Linked DNA regions of Lepisosteus oculatus. The protein of the gene in region 2 interacts with the protein of the main gene of each other region in a pairwise test. Links are inferred from orthologs where the notes say so. Each region holds a gene or a part of one and is shown on either strand. Other genes may lie near its edges.

Region 1 (7,567 bases), on a different chromosome or scaffold from region 2:
TCTCAATTCAATTCAGTTCAATTCAAGGTGCTTTATTAGCATGACCGATGGGTACAATCAGTGTTGCCAAAGCAAATAAAAATAATAAAATTAACATAGAACAAAACAAAAAATAGAAGTAAAATAAAATCTACAGACATGTTACAGACATTTACAACAAAGACATATTATAAAATATTGACATATACTGTAGGCGGCTGGAGCATTATTGGGAGACAGACTCACTGGTCCTCAGGCTGTGACAGGAGATCACATACTGGGCTGCCAGATCAACTGAGTTCCCTCCTCCCTCTCCCAGTAGGATTGGGACCTGTTGTGGTTTTGGCAGGGGTGGGAACTCTGGGATTAGATTTCTGAATTTCAGGAAGAATGTTTCTCTAATCCCAGAGTATCTGTCCCAGTGCAGTAGGAAGTGCACCTCTGTCTCTATCTCTCCCCGCTGGCAGTGGGAGCACAGCCTGTCCTCTCTGGGCAGCCAGGTCTGCCTGTGTCCAGTGTCTGTGTCCAGGCTGTGGTCACTGAGCCTGTCCTCTCTGGGCAGCCAGGTCTGCCTGTATCCAGTGTCTGTGTCCAGGCTGTGGTCACTGAGCCTGTCCTCTCTGGGCAGCCAGGTCTGCCTGTGTCCAGTGTGTGTGTCCAGGCTGTGGTCACTGAGCCTGTCCTCTCTGGGCAGCCAGGTTTGCCTGTATCCAGTTTCTATGGCCAGGTTGTGGTCACTGAGCCTGTACTTCGTCGGGGTCTGTTTCTGTTTGTTGTTTTTTATTTTGGTCAAATATTCAGCTAGTGTGTATTGTCTGTTTAAGGTTCTGTAGCATTCCAGTTTATGTTGTGTTTGTGTGTGTGTGTCCCAGTGTGTGAGATATTGCTGTTTGATCTGTGCTGTGATGTGGTTGAGTCTGAGCTGTGGTGCTCTAGCAGTGCTGTCCTGAGGCTGGTTGTGTGTTGTGTGTATTGTGCTGTGATGGGCTTGAGTCTGGGTTGTGGTGCTCTAGCAGTGCTGTCCTGAGGCTGGTTGTGTGTTGTGTGTATTGTGCTGTGATGTGGTTGAGTCTGGGTTGTGGTGCTCTAGCAGTGCTGTCCTGAGGCTGGTTGTGTGTTGTGTGTATTGTGCTGTGATGTGGTTGAGTCTGGGTTGTGGTGCTCTAGCAGTGCTGTCCTGAGGCTGGTTGTGTGTTGTGTGTATTGTGCTGTGATGGGCTTGAGTCTGGGTTGTGGTGCTCTAGCAGTGCTGTCCTGAGGCTGGTTGTGTGTATTGTGCTGTGATGGGCTTGAGTCTGGGTTGTGGTGCTCTAGCAGTGCTGTCCTGAGGCTGGTTGTGTGTATTGTGCTGTGATGGGCTTGAGTCTGGGTTGTGGTGCTCTAGCAGTGCTGTCTTGAGGCTGGTTTTGTGTTGTGTGTATTGTGCTGTGATGGGCTTGAGTCTGGGTTGTGGTGCTCTAGCAGTGCTGTCCTGAGGCTGGTTGTGTGTTGTGTGTATTGTGCTGTGATGGGCTTGAGTCTGGGTTGTGGTGCTCTAGCAGTGCTGTCCTGAGGCTGGTTGTGTGTTGTGTGTATTGTGCTGTGATGGGCTTGAGTCTGGGTTGTGGTGCTCTAGCAGTGCTGTCCTGAGGCTGGTTGTGTGTTGTGTGTATTGTGCTGTGATGGGCTTGAGTCTGGGTTGTGGTGCTCTAGCAGTGCTGTCCTGAGGCTGGTTGTGAGTTGTGTGTATTGTGCTGTGATGTGGTGAGTCTGGGTTGTGGTGCTCTAGCAGTGCTGTCCTGAGGCTGGTTAGTGTCGGTGTGGCTCAGGTCAGTGAGCCTCAGGACCAGCTGGCTCAGGGGGCTCTGTTTTGGGCTCAGCTCTTGGCTCAGCAGGGCTTTGTGGTGGTAGGAATTTTGGTCGCTGTTTTTTAGGTGTAGCCAATACTTTAATACTCTTTTCTGTATGTTTATCAATAGTGGGTACTGGCCTAATTCGGCCCTGCACCCGTTGTTAGGAGTTTTTCTCTGCACACGGAGGATGATTCTACAGATCTCCATGTGCAGAGTTTCTGTGGGGTGTTTGTCCCATTGGGTGTACTCCTGGTCTGTGAGGGGACCCCACACTTCACTGCCGTACAGGGCAATGGGTGAGAGTGATGCAGTTGTACTGGTATGAGCAGAGACTCGGTGCTCTTGAGTGACAGGGCTGAAGCACTCAGCAGTGTCAACAGCCAGCAGAGCAGTCAGTCATCAGCGGTGTTATCAGCTGCTGATCTGTGCGATCAGCCCCCGGGAGTTTAATGTGTTTTTCTGGGGGGAAAAGCCTCATTAACACCGCTGGAGCGCATGCGCTGCCCGCGTGTCCCCGGTCTCGCCCCACACCGCACGTGGAAGCCGGACCCCAGACCCCCACGGGTGCGGGAACACGCGTGTTTCACCTGGACACGGGTCCGAACCGAGAGGCGCGCTCGGGGCCGCGGGTTCCGTCCCGGCACCCGGGGGAGGGCCAGCCCGGTTCGGCGGCTCGGCGGTTCGGCTGCGACTCACGTCCACTCCCAGCGGCACCGCGAACTCCTGCCGCTCGGTTCCGAAGCTGTAGTGGCTGGTCCGGTCCAAGGCAGCCCGGCCGGTTCCGGAGAGCTGCTCTCCGAGTCCGGCTCGGAAGTTGTAGCCGCAGACGTCGGTTAAAGCCATAGTTCGGGTGTACGGACGGTTCGGGACGGGCGGTTCGGGTAATATCGATCCGGTATCGATCAGCTTGATCGAGCGGCGAGGATACGGGACGGCCGACTGCCTGAGAGGGGAGCGAGCTCGTGTCTCCGAGCAGCTTCCTGGATCTGAACCGAAACCGAAAGCGGTTCGGGGGCGGAACCCTTTGGTTTCGGTTTCCACTGCAGAGCGGGGGCCGAGGCCGAGACTGGCGGGCCCCGTGCTCCGCTCGGAACCGGCGGTCCAGCTCCCGGTCCGGGGCGGGAGCGGGCCGTGTCCGGCGGAGGCCGCTGGACAGCGGCGGGCTCCGGGTCCGGGGTCCAGTCTCCGGGCTCCGGCGCTGTCCGCCAGGGGGCGCAGCGGGCGGCCGCAGGGAAATCAGAGCGGGCGGCCCCGCCCCCCCGGGGCCGGCGGGCCAATGGGGAGAGCGAGCAGCGCCACGTCACCGCCTGCCAGGCAGAACCGTGCGGGACAGGTTACTGGGACAGGAAACACCGGCAGGGGGTGCTGGGACACCTTACTGGGAAAGGAAACACCGACAGGGTACTGGGACAGCTTACAGGACCGGTTGACCCTGACAGGGTACTGGGACAGGTTACAGAGGCACAGTAACCTCGTGACACAGTGACTCTACACACAGAGTAACACAGTAATACCACACACGGAGTAACACAGTCAGACACAGTGACTCCACACACAGAGTAACACAGTAATACCACACACGGAGTAACACAGTCAGACACAGTGACTCCACACACAGAGTAACACAGTCAGACACAGTGACTCCACACACAGAGTAACGCAGTAATACCACACACGGAGTAACGCAGTCAGACACAGTGACTCCACACACGGAGTAACGCAGTCAGACACAGTGACTCCACACACAGAGTAACACAGTAATACTACACACAGACTAACACAGTCAGACACAGTGACTCCACACACAGAGTAACACAGTCAGACACAGCGACTCCACACAGAGTAATACAGTAATACTACACACAGAGTAACGCAGTCAGACACAGTGACTCTACACACAGAGTAACGCAGTCAGACACAGTGACTCCACACACAGAGTAACGCAGTCAGACACAGCGACTCCACACAGAGTAACACAGTAATACTACACACAGAGTAACGCAGTCAGACACAGTGACTCTACACACAGAGTAACGCATTCAGACACAGTGACTCCACACACGGAGTAACACAGTCAGACACAGTGACTCCACACACAGAGTAACACAGTCAGACACAGTGACTCCACACAGAGTAACGCAGTCAGACACAGTGACTCCACACACAGAGTAACACAGTAATACTACACACAGAGTAACACAGTCAGACACAGTGACTCCACACAAAGAGTAACGCAGTCAGACACAGTGACTCCACACACAGAGTAACGCATCAGACACAGTGATTCCACACACAGAGTAACACAGTAATACTACACACAGAGTAACACAGTCAGACACAGTGACTCCACACACAGAGTAACGCAGTCAGGCACAGTGACTCTACACACAGAGTAACACAGCTGGGGGTAGTTCAGAACTGAGTCTTTATTAACCAGGAATCACAGGTATACAGTAAACAGTGGTTCATTCTGAAGACACACAAATACAACAGTGTCGCCCTGCTCTGCTCACAGACACACCCCAGGGCTGTTTCACACACACGTCTGGAGAGTGACTGTGTAACCTGTTCTGTTGTGTCGCTGTGGAAGTCCCGTGCTGTTGTGCGATTGTGACACTGTTCTGCTGCTGTGTTGCTGGGTTGTCGTGTTGCTCAGTGTGTGTCCATGAGCTGCACTGTCTCCTGGACCAGCTCCATCTCCAGAGGAGAAACTGTCTCACGGAGAACCGGAGTCGTCCCAGGACAGTACTTATACTTCCTCTGTCTGAGAGAGAGAGACGGGTTAATACACTCCAGTACACTGACACTGCACTGAGAGAGAGAGGGGTTCATACACACACACTGACTGGACACTCCAGTACATGAACACTGCACTGAGAGAGAGAGGGGTTCACACAGACACACTGACTGGACACTCCAGTACATGAACACTGCACTGAGAGAGAGAGGGGTTCATACACACACACTGACTGGACACTCCAGTACATGAACACTGCACTGAGAGAGAGAGGGGTTCATACAGACACACTGACTGGACACTCCAGTACATTAACACTCACTGAGAGAGAGAGGGGTTCATACAGACACACTGACTGGACACTCCAGTACATGAACACTGCACTGAGAGAGAGAGGGGTTCACACAGACACACTGACTGGACACTCCAGTACATGAACACTGCACTGAGAGAGAGAGGGGTTCATACACACACCCTGACTGGACACTCCAGTACATGAACACTGCACTGAGAGAGAGAGGGGTTCATACAGACACACTGACTGGACACTCCAGTACATGAACACTGCACTGAGAGAGAGAGGGGTTCATACACACACACTGACTGGACACTCCAGTACATGAACACTGCACTGAGAGAGAGAGGGGTTCATACAGACACACTGACTGGACACTCCAGTACATGAACACTGCACTGAGAGAGAGAGGGGTTCATACACACACACTGACTGGACACTCCAGTACATGAACACTGCACTGAGAGAGAGAGGGGTTCATACACACACACTGACTGGACACTCCAGTACATGAACACTGCACTGAGAGAGAGAGGGGTTCATACAGACACACTGACTGGACACTCCAGTACATGAACACTGCACTGAGAGAGAGAGGGGTTCATACACACACACTGACTGGACACTCCAGTACATGAACACTGCACTGAGAGAGAGAGGGGTTCACACAGACACACTGAGAGAGAGAGGGGTTCACACAGACACACTGAGAGAGAGAGGGGTTCATACAGACACTGCTCTGAGCCAGTACCTGGTGTCCTTGTACTGGGACTCCTCGTAGGGCCGCAGGTACTCCACTCCTGCCCGGGTGATGACACACAGGTCGATGTTGCTGCCCGAGCCCAGGTCACTCATGACCCCTGCGTGGACGGCGTCTCTGACCAGGCGCTTGGCATCGTCCAGCTGCAGAGAGCAGCAGTCTTACTGACGGCCGACACGTCTGACCTCCATCTGCATCTGATCTCACTGGGCTGTACTGGGCTGTACTGGGTTTTTACCCTGATCTCACTGGGCTGTTCTGCGCTGTACATTGTTTTTACCCTGATTTCTCCGGGCTGTACTGTGTTTTTACCCTGATCTCACTGGGCTCTACTGCACTGTACTGTGTTTTTACCCTGCTCTCACTGGGCTTTACTGCGCTGGACTGTGTTTTTACTCTGATCTCACTGAGCTGGACTGTGTTTTTACCCTGCTCTCACTGGGCTGGACTGTAGGCTGGGGGTGGACTCGTCCTCAAACTCACCTCCATGTCGGTCCTGAAGCCGTCCTCCAGCACCCCCATCGCGGGCAGGTCCCCCGAGCCTGTGGACAGCACCGAGCGGTCAGTCGGCCTGGGGCGGTCAGTCAGTCAGTCAGTCAGGAGCGGTCAGTCAGTCTGGGGCAGGCAGTCAGTCAGTCAGTCAGTCAGTCAGTCAGGAGCGGTCAGTCAGTCTGGGGTGGTCAGTCAGTCAGACTGGGGCGGTCAGTCAGTCGGTCAGGAGTGGTCAGTCTATCAGAAGCGGTCAGTTCTCCCTGTCACCCTCTGGGCCTCGTTCATCACTGCAGCACAGCTGAGTCCGAGTCAGGAGGAGTCCTGCAGGTACGCACACACACACACACACGCACGCACACAGAGCCGGCTGACCGGATGCTCACCCATGGCCTTGAAGGGCATGTTGTCGACACTCCCGTACGGCCCCACTGTGTACAGGTGAGCTCCAGTGACGTCCACTCCGCCCAGCAGCAGGTACGCCCCGATCTGACCGCGGTACCTGGACACACAGACACACCCTGACTCAGATCGTCCACCCTGAGTCACCCTGGGCTTCACACACACACACACACTGACCTGAAGAGCATGTCCTGCAGGATGCTGGTGGCCATGACCACCCTGGGGTTCACACACACACACACACACTGACCTGAAGAGCATGTCCTGCAGGATGCTGGTGGCCATGACCACCCTGGGGTTCACACACACACACACACACACACTGACCTGAAGAGCATGTCCTGCAGGATGCTGGTGGCCATGACCACCCTGGGGTTCACACACACACACACACACACACACTGACCTGAAGAGCATGTCCTGCAGGATGCTGGTGGCCATGACGACCCTGGGCTTCACACACACACACTCACACACACACACACACTGACCTGAAGAGCATGTCCTGCAGGATGCTGGTGGCCATGACGACTCTGGGCTTCACACACACACACACTCACACACACACACACACACACTGACCTGAAGAGCATGTCCTGCAGGATGCTGGTGGCCATGACCACCCTGGGGTTCACACACACACACACACACACACACTGACCTGAAGAGCATGTCCTGCAGGATGCTGGTGGCCATGACCACCCTGGGGTTCACACACACACACACACACATGAACACACACACAAACACACACACACACACACTGACCTGAAGAGCATGTCCTGCAGGATGCTGGTGGCCATGACCACCCTGGGGTTCACACACACACACACACACACACACTGACCTGAAGAGCATGTCCTGCAGGATGCTGGTGGCCATGACGACCCTGGGGTTCACACACACACACACACACACACACACTGACCTGAAGAGCATGTCCTGCAGGATGCTGGTGGCCATGACGACCCTGGGGTTGCGCCCGCTGTTCAGGGAGAAGATGGACAGGTTGGAGGACAGCAGCTCGGTGGTCTTCTCGGTGTCTGCCGCCGTCCCGGCGCCGCAGCAGCTGG
Region 2 (7,555 bases):
TCACTATACTGGGGCATTAGGACCCACACAGACTGCAGGGTGAGCGCCCCCTTCTGGCCCCACTAACACCTCTTCTAGCAGCAACCTTAGCTTTCCCAGGAGTCTCCCATCCAGGTACTGGCCAGGCTCACACTGCTGAGCTCCTGTGAGCTGCCAGTGGTGAGTTGCAGGGTGATATGGCTGCTGGCCAGTTTCTGACCAGTTTCTGGCCATTATAACAGCACACTTAGAACTCCTTGTCTATAAAAATAAAATGTTTGCTTTAGTCTTTATTTGTGGCAAGGTTTCACTGTGACCTCTAACAGTTCGACCCCTCACACTTTCAGATGAATGCAAAACGTGGGGTTGCTGTTCTTTTGTGTTCAGGATTCGTTTTTTACCCCCCTTTTCAGACAAAATTTCCTCCAAGCATCTACTACAAGATATTCACGCACCGCCCGATAGTGGACATGTGCGCCAACAGCCCCAAGGACTACACCTGCCCCGCAGCCAGGCGGCCCCTGCCGGGGCAAATCCACAACCGCGGGCGGGCTGCGGGGCAGGAGGACCGCTCGGGCTGGTACCGGCGGGAGGAGAACAACGGCTGGAGGCTCCTCTCGGGCAAGGTGCGGCGGGGCCCTCCCGCGGGGCCGCACTGCTGAGCCAGGCCTGCGGGGGGCGCTCTCCCCCTGCGCCTGCGTCCACCCGGCCACGCGCCCGCTCACGGGCCGTTCAGAGACCAGAGCACCTGGCGGACATGTAAACCACACCCAAGGGGCCAAAATTCATCCCTGAACTCAAGACCCCCTCTTCTCTTCGTATTAGTCTGCTAGAGTGCGCTACATCATGGTCCTCATTAGTGTGATTACTGAATTTGCACTTTGTATAGATCCAGGCACATATTTGTCCACTGCATGGGACATGACATTCTCGGCAAAAACAAGAATAACAGAATCTGGAAATACTCAGAGCAGGTCCTATTATTGTATACACTTGCAAAGGAATAACCCCTTTTTTTCTGTGAAGTTCCGACCACTTATTAATCCCTTCGATCGATTTTGGTTTTTTGCTTGTTTCTTTGTTCAAAAATGAAGTTGCGTTATGTAACTTATTTCCTTTTTCACGAAGGTGTGATACGCTGCTCTTGTGTTTCTGTCCGTTGCTGTTATAAGATTTGGTTAATGGGCGACCCCGTAACACTGGACTCTGCCGCGAAGAAAACGGAATTCCATTACTCCAGGATCCAGAGGCGCCAGGAAGTAGGGAGAAGGAGGAAGCAGAGGAAAATTGACTGGATGAAAAAGATGTGAGTTTATTATTGACTAGGTCAAATTCAGGGGGTGAGTTTTATTACTCCCCAGGTGCCAGGAGTAAACCTTGCCGTGGCTCCACATAAACATTCTAGAGGTTTGAGAAATTGCCCTGCATTAGCAGAAGGCGCTGCTGGCTGATGAGTGGCATCTGTGTGCACTGCCCAGGTATGAAGACGGCCTCCTGCAGGCCCGCACAGAGGACCCTGACGCGGCTCTGCTCGTGGACAAGGCCGCAGAGGGCATGATGGCGGCGGTGGATCAGCTGGGGCCCAGCCACGTGCTGGAGTGGGAAGTGGACGAGCTGCTGGAGTGGACCAACTCCCTCAACTTCGAAGAGTGAGTCGCCGCCGTGCAGACGCACAGGCCCGCCTCCCTGGCGGTCAGGTCAGCCGTATTGTCAAGTGTCCTGCCCTCGTGTGCTGCCACAGAAGGTCCTGGTACATGTCAGTCAAAATGCCAGTTTAGTGCTGCAATTACATGAATATATCAAATCAAGTCAGTTCCAAGTCCCACCCCTTTTCCCAATTTGAACACAAGAAACTCTCTTGCTGTACGGATTTGAAGCATATCAAACAGCACTCCTGCGTCGCTTGATTAAATATAATTATATTATGATATAAATCTATTATATATATTTCAAACATGCTCTATGCGAACCACCTTTGCCTTTCTCTCTACATCTCTGTCTCCTTTTCTTTCTCTGTCATATACACACAATCGACTTTCAGTAGAAACGTCTTGCTCTTTTGAACACTTAGAGTTAAACATGGACCACATGTTTTGGAATACCTGCTGAAAAGCAGCAGTAGAATGTACAGTATTTATAAATGCAATGGAAGTGTTGTACTAAATTAATGAGACCCATGGGAAAAACTTTGCTCTTAGTTTAGTCTTCTTTTCTGTATTTCAGGTACATGAATGGATGGAAGGAAACAGCAATGAGTGGTTTTTCAGAGTCCTATAAAGGTAAAAAAGAGAACTTATGATGAAGAAGATTACTGGAGAAAAATACCCGTGTGCACTGACACACACAATGATAGACATGAAAAACACACATTCCTGATAACATACTTCTGAGTTTTAGATAGTGTAGAATAAAGTTTACCAGATTTGTAATTACTTGTCTTTCTCCTTTTTGTGATTAAACATTTGGAAGGATTACTACACTGGTGGTTGTCTCCCATGCTGGAAACTAGTTGTTAAACATTATTTTTATATAATATATTATATGTATATATTATTTTTATATGATTGTTGTATGATCATTTGACCATTATTGTGTTTTACAAACACAAGACTTTGGAAAGCTATCATTTGGGAGTTCAGTTTCTTCTCGTTCAAAACTATTTCTGTTCTTTTCAAGTCATAATTTTTTAATGTTTGAAGACCAAATATTGAACTCAAACACTTTCTTTCTATAACAACAATTTATAGTTTTAATTAATTTAGAAAACTGAAGATTTAGAACTTTAGAAAACTGATGTGATACAATGAGAAGAAAGCAGACTGCAGACTGAATTCAGTGTCTAGTACTCTGTATAAGTACTGTAGTTAAAATTAAAGTCCATCCCAGAGACACATCAGCTCCTCGGGATAAAGTTCATCCTGGTTTCTGCAGCATTAAGCAGACTAGCGAGCATGTGACTCCCCTTGCAGGGGATGCCAGTCCATCACAGGGAGCGTCCTGCATGCTGCTCCCCACATAATACATGTTGGACTGAATAATACATAATAAATTGAGTTGGACTGAAGCAGCCGGGGTAAAGAACCTCTATCTGGGGCAGGGGCTGAGTCCGGGGGGTAACCCACTACGATTTGCCACCCCTGTCAAATTCAAAAGAAATACTTTAAATAAATCACTTGTCAGAGCTGCGGTGAGAAAGCTCTGCTTTGTAGTTGAAACCACATGGAGTTCTAAGCAAAAGACATTTTCCGTGCAGGACTGCGTGGGAGTTGCTATGTTATGCTGTGTTACAGCCCTTTCTGCTGCCAGCGCTTTGACACGGTGGCCTGTCTCTGTTACAGGTTCGAGGCTCGTCGTCTCCCAGCACGACCAGTGCGAGTTCACGCGGTTCTCCCGGGAGGGCAGTCAGGCAGCCGCCGACTGCAGCGCCCTCACCTGTCACGTCTCCAGCCAGTACCAGTCTTACAGCACCCCCCTGCTCTCCAGGGCTAGCATGGCAGAGCACGGCTCCCACAGCAGACAGATAAAGCAGCTGCCACTTTAGACAGACAGGAGTGGAGTGTCCAGTGTGCACCGAAGTACAGCGCTCTCCCGTTAGGAGGCCATGACAGCTTTCCCCTGCTTACTCATGTTTCGGTTCGTGCCAGAAAACTGATGGTGTTCTGATGGTGAAAACTGAAGGGCTCTGGCTCTTCATCAGGGTAAATATTTAACGTGATTAATCTGTTCCTTCAGGGTACTATTTTCAACAAGATATATCAATGGTAACGAAGGTCTGAAAATGTAGTACACGTTCATATGACCTGTCCCTGTTTTAAATGAAAATTATTTTCCCCCATGTTTGAATTCTCAATATTTTACACGCGTTGCCCCAAGACACTGTCATTTTCCATGCTGATTCCTAATAAAGCTGTATGTGGAGCTTTTTTGTGTCTTATGTCTGTGGATCCTCTGTTTCACTGAGGCCGGCTGACTCTAGGGTCTGTTTCTCAGTAAACTAGACGTACATCAAGGCATCAGCAGTCTGCAGCCTGCTCCCTGGCACCTCCAGAATGAGTAAGAACTGGGAACACCCCTGTGCTCTGTGCTGGATGCTGAGATGTGTCAAATGTATGAGTCAGTGCTAGTATTATATGGGTGTCGTCCTAAACTAGAATAAAAAACTGGATTGACAGTACACAGTTGTGTTTATACAGGTTCATGTAAAACCAAAAAAGCACTTCAATTATGATCCCTTCTATTTTAATAATAATAATAATAATAATAATGTAAAAAGATGGTGTTTTTGAATTTTACACAAAAAAAAGAGGGGGCACCCGGATTTGAACCGGGGACCTCTTGATCTGCAGTCAAATGCTCTACCACTGAGCTATACCCCCTGTCTGCGAAACGCCTGCCGATGGCCTATACAAATCAACTGTGTGTATCGCCGTTTTCTAATGTAATTTTAAAAATTGTAATATTAGAACTATGTGTTGCCCGCAAGTACTTAATGAAAGCAAAGTTAAACTTAATTGTTTCTAAGCTGATAGATGAAGATTTCTATCTTCGTTTCGGACTTTTCAGAGCTGCCATCAGCGGAAGCATCGTCATTTGTCACGTGTGAGGGGTACCGGTGAGCCGGAAGTACTCGGTGTGGGGTCATTAGGAAGAAAGAAGCCGCCGGATCAGTATGGTGAGATGAGTTTTTATTTAAAAATCTCTTGTTATAGGGAACGTGTGATTTACATGTTGCTCTTAAGCCAAGATACTTTTAACGGATTTTGTCAGCGTTACACTGAAGCTGACGTGATTGTACAAGAGGTTCATTTAGCTGAGTTTTGATTAGTCACTGCTCTCCGCGAGTTCAGTTGTTCACGTCAAAATATGTCTCGGGCCTTGTTTATTCCCGTGCGTTGCTGAATTAACAGGCACTAATGTGGTATCTACTCATCAGTCTTAAAGATTTGTTGGTTACCAACGTGACAATCAAGCGTACTTTGTGAATACACGGAGCGACGCGAAACTGAAAGTGCTCTGGTCCTGATTTGCAGTATCATTGCTCTTGGGACACTGGTTATCCGACTGTCGCGGTAAAATGCCCAAATCCTGTCGGTGATCTTGACTCCCTGCAGGAGTCACTTTAACCCTGGGGTCGCTCTGGAGTGGTGAGGTTACTGTCCATCACCCGGGCGGGTGAACTGAGTCCTCTCATTCCTACACAACAAGTACATGGGATGAATAGGGTCATTGTTCATCATTACTGTCACATCACAGGCTTTCACACTGGGAGAGTTCTGGACAGGTATATAAATTCAAGGATTTATTAATAATTGGATTTGGGGTGAAATGCATTGCTTACACACCTGAGCGGTCTCTGAGATTCTCCATTTGAGAACCATTGTGATCAAGGTCAGTCTGCGGTTGATCTTTTAACGGGCGATGTCGTGTTGTGGGACAGTAGACTAAGCTGCCCCACAGTTCTTTGACAGTCCCTGCCAAGCGCTGCTCATGGGGGCACTGCTGTATTTCAGAATACTAGAGGTCTTCGATCACAGCTGAAGGACAGCATCCCCGTCACAGGGCTGTGTCCGCAGTCGGGAACCTATGGCGTACCTGACACACTGCGCAAGGGGTGAGTGACCGCTCCGTATCTCACTCGCGGTCTGGATCTTCGTGGTTCCTCTCTCAGACTCAGACCGACATGTCCCTTCCTTCCCATCGCTGGATTTGACTTCTTCATGAACGGGAAAAACATTCTTGCTTGTTCTTTTTAAAATGAAACCCATCCCATCATGGTCTGAAGAAAGAGCCTGTTGACTGCCCCACGAGTCGTTAATTGTGACTGCAGCTTTACAGGATAAAAATGTGAGCTGTTTCTTATGGCGTAGAATCAGTACTTCATTTATTTTTGAGGAGGAACTTTAATTAATTGGATTACGTCATTACAGAGCTAGGCCATAACATGTATGAATAAACTAGAAGTTGCAACGGTGTTTTTAGCAAATAGATTTTGATAGAGTCTGAAGTTTTCTGTCCTTGTCACTGGCTTTCAGCTTCTCCAGCGTGAAGAACGAACTCCTGCCCTCCCACCCCCTGGAGCTCTCCGAGAAGAACGTAAGTGTTTCAGCTGGTATGTGCACTGGTAACCGAGAAGTTTTACATTTAAGCACCATTTTACTGAAGTTGATTCTTAAAGTGGATGGCAGACCGATAATATAAAATATATATAATCATATTTTGTCAGCTTTACAATCCTGATTTAGCCCTTGGTGCTTTTCCTAAAATAGCCATAGTTCCCGTGTCTTTCGGGTTGTCATGTTGTAATAAACTACAGCTCTATGAAGTGCTACTATGTCAGACATTGCATTTAACATCGCTGCTTCGTTTCTGCTAGTTTCAGCTCAATCAAGACAAGATGAACTTTGCCACGCTCAGGAACATTCAGGGACTTCATGCACCTCTGAAACTGCAGATGGAGTACAAGGCAGCAAAACAGGTACCCTCTCACCAGCTGTCTTGAAGGGGGGTATGTTTTAGAACACATATGTTTAAGAAGCTCAGTCCAAAATTCACTTGGTTAAGTTAATAACCATACTAAAGGTGAACATCAGAATCTGCCTTTGCAAAATGTCATCCTTTGAAGTCAAGTGGAGATTAGTGATAAATGACATTATGCTTTTTTTTCTGTCACACTTTCAAAAGCTGTTTGTATCTATTGTACCCATAACAATATCCTGCATGCTGTGCTTTTCCAGATACAGCGTTTGCCCTTCCTTCAGAGTTCAAACATTGCACTAGATACTCTCAGAGGAAATGACGAGTACGTTGGTTTTGAGGACATATTGAACGGTAAGTATTCAGAACTCCCTACAGCAGTTTGAAGGATGGCGTTGGGTCATTAAACATTAACAGTTCCTGGAAGCTGAACCCCCATTTTACTCCAGGCAATGTTTCCTTTTTTCTGTAAACAGAAACCACCAGGGGTACACAGGGGACCATTGTGTGTGGACAGCTGGGCTTAGATTGATATTGAGAATCACTCTCCAACGGCTTTTATTTCAACTTGGTGTTTTTTTTATTCGCAGATCCAGCACAAAGTGAAGTCATGGGGGAGCCCCATGTCATGGTGGAATACAAAACGGGTTTGCTGTAAAAAAATTCACGTTACTCTGTGTGATTGTTTGACATAAGACAAATGTGCTTCTTTTTGCTATATTCTAACCATACAGGACAAAGTATTTTGCATGGTTAGAATCAAATTATCGTTTAAAGATTTCTAATAAAGCTTTGTTTGCTCTCTTTATTTAGTATTTTGGGTGTCAGACTTTGATTTCATTAACAGTATGCTTTTTTCAGTTAAAATGATCATGGACGTAAGGCTGTGCCACTTGTATAGCATGTTGGTATTGTCTGGTGAAAGATAGTATATAAAGGCATGAGTTGAACTTACCTCTGCAATGTTTAATACCAGTTTGGATGCCTTCAGGATTTCTGCCAAATACTTAATGTTGTTAAATCTAAAGCACATTAAACCTTTGAATACGTTTGTTTCCATGAACACACAAGGAAGACAAAACAGTGAAAAGATTTCTTTAAA

What was found. The genes of interacting proteins can lie anywhere in the genome.
Region 1: the proteins of pomp (region 2) and psmb8a interact in a two-hybrid assay, tested with the Homo sapiens proteins (2 studies listed by BioGRID). The link is inferred for Lepisosteus oculatus from reciprocal best matches to the Homo sapiens genes POMP and PSMB8.

The regions. Positions count from the first base shown.
Region 1 is NC_090709.1:38,622,680-38,630,246, forward strand, and holds the start of psmb8a (proteasome subunit beta type-8), read right to left. Parts: upstream 3,018-7,567; 5' UTR 2,655-3,017; coding exon 2,508-2,654; intron 1-2,507. Other genes in the region: psmb13a (proteasome 20S subunit beta 13a), read right to left, coding at 4,464-4,575, 5,595-5,746, 6,087-6,145, 6,479-6,594, 7,423-7,563. UniProt on the Homo sapiens protein: The proteasome is a multicatalytic proteinase complex which is characterized by its ability to cleave peptides with Arg, Phe, Tyr, Leu, and Glu adjacent to the leaving group at neutral or slightly basic pH.
Region 2 is NC_090700.1:1,688,829-1,696,383, reverse strand, and holds pomp (proteasome maturation protein), read left to right. Parts: upstream 1-4,543; 5' UTR 4,544-4,648; coding exon 4,649-4,651; intron 4,652-5,489; coding exon 5,490-5,590; intron 5,591-6,011; coding exon 6,012-6,072; intron 6,073-6,352; coding exon 6,353-6,454; intron 6,455-6,713; coding exon 6,714-6,807; intron 6,808-7,043; coding exon 7,044-7,111; 3' UTR 7,112-7,268; downstream 7,269-7,555. Other genes in the region: c5h11orf65 (protein MFI), read left to right, coding at 393-605, 1,152-1,285, 1,458-1,628, 2,203-2,258, 3,318-3,520. UniProt on the Homo sapiens protein: Molecular chaperone essential for the assembly of standard proteasomes and immunoproteasomes. Degraded after completion of proteasome maturation. Mediates the association of 20S preproteasome with the endoplasmic reticulum.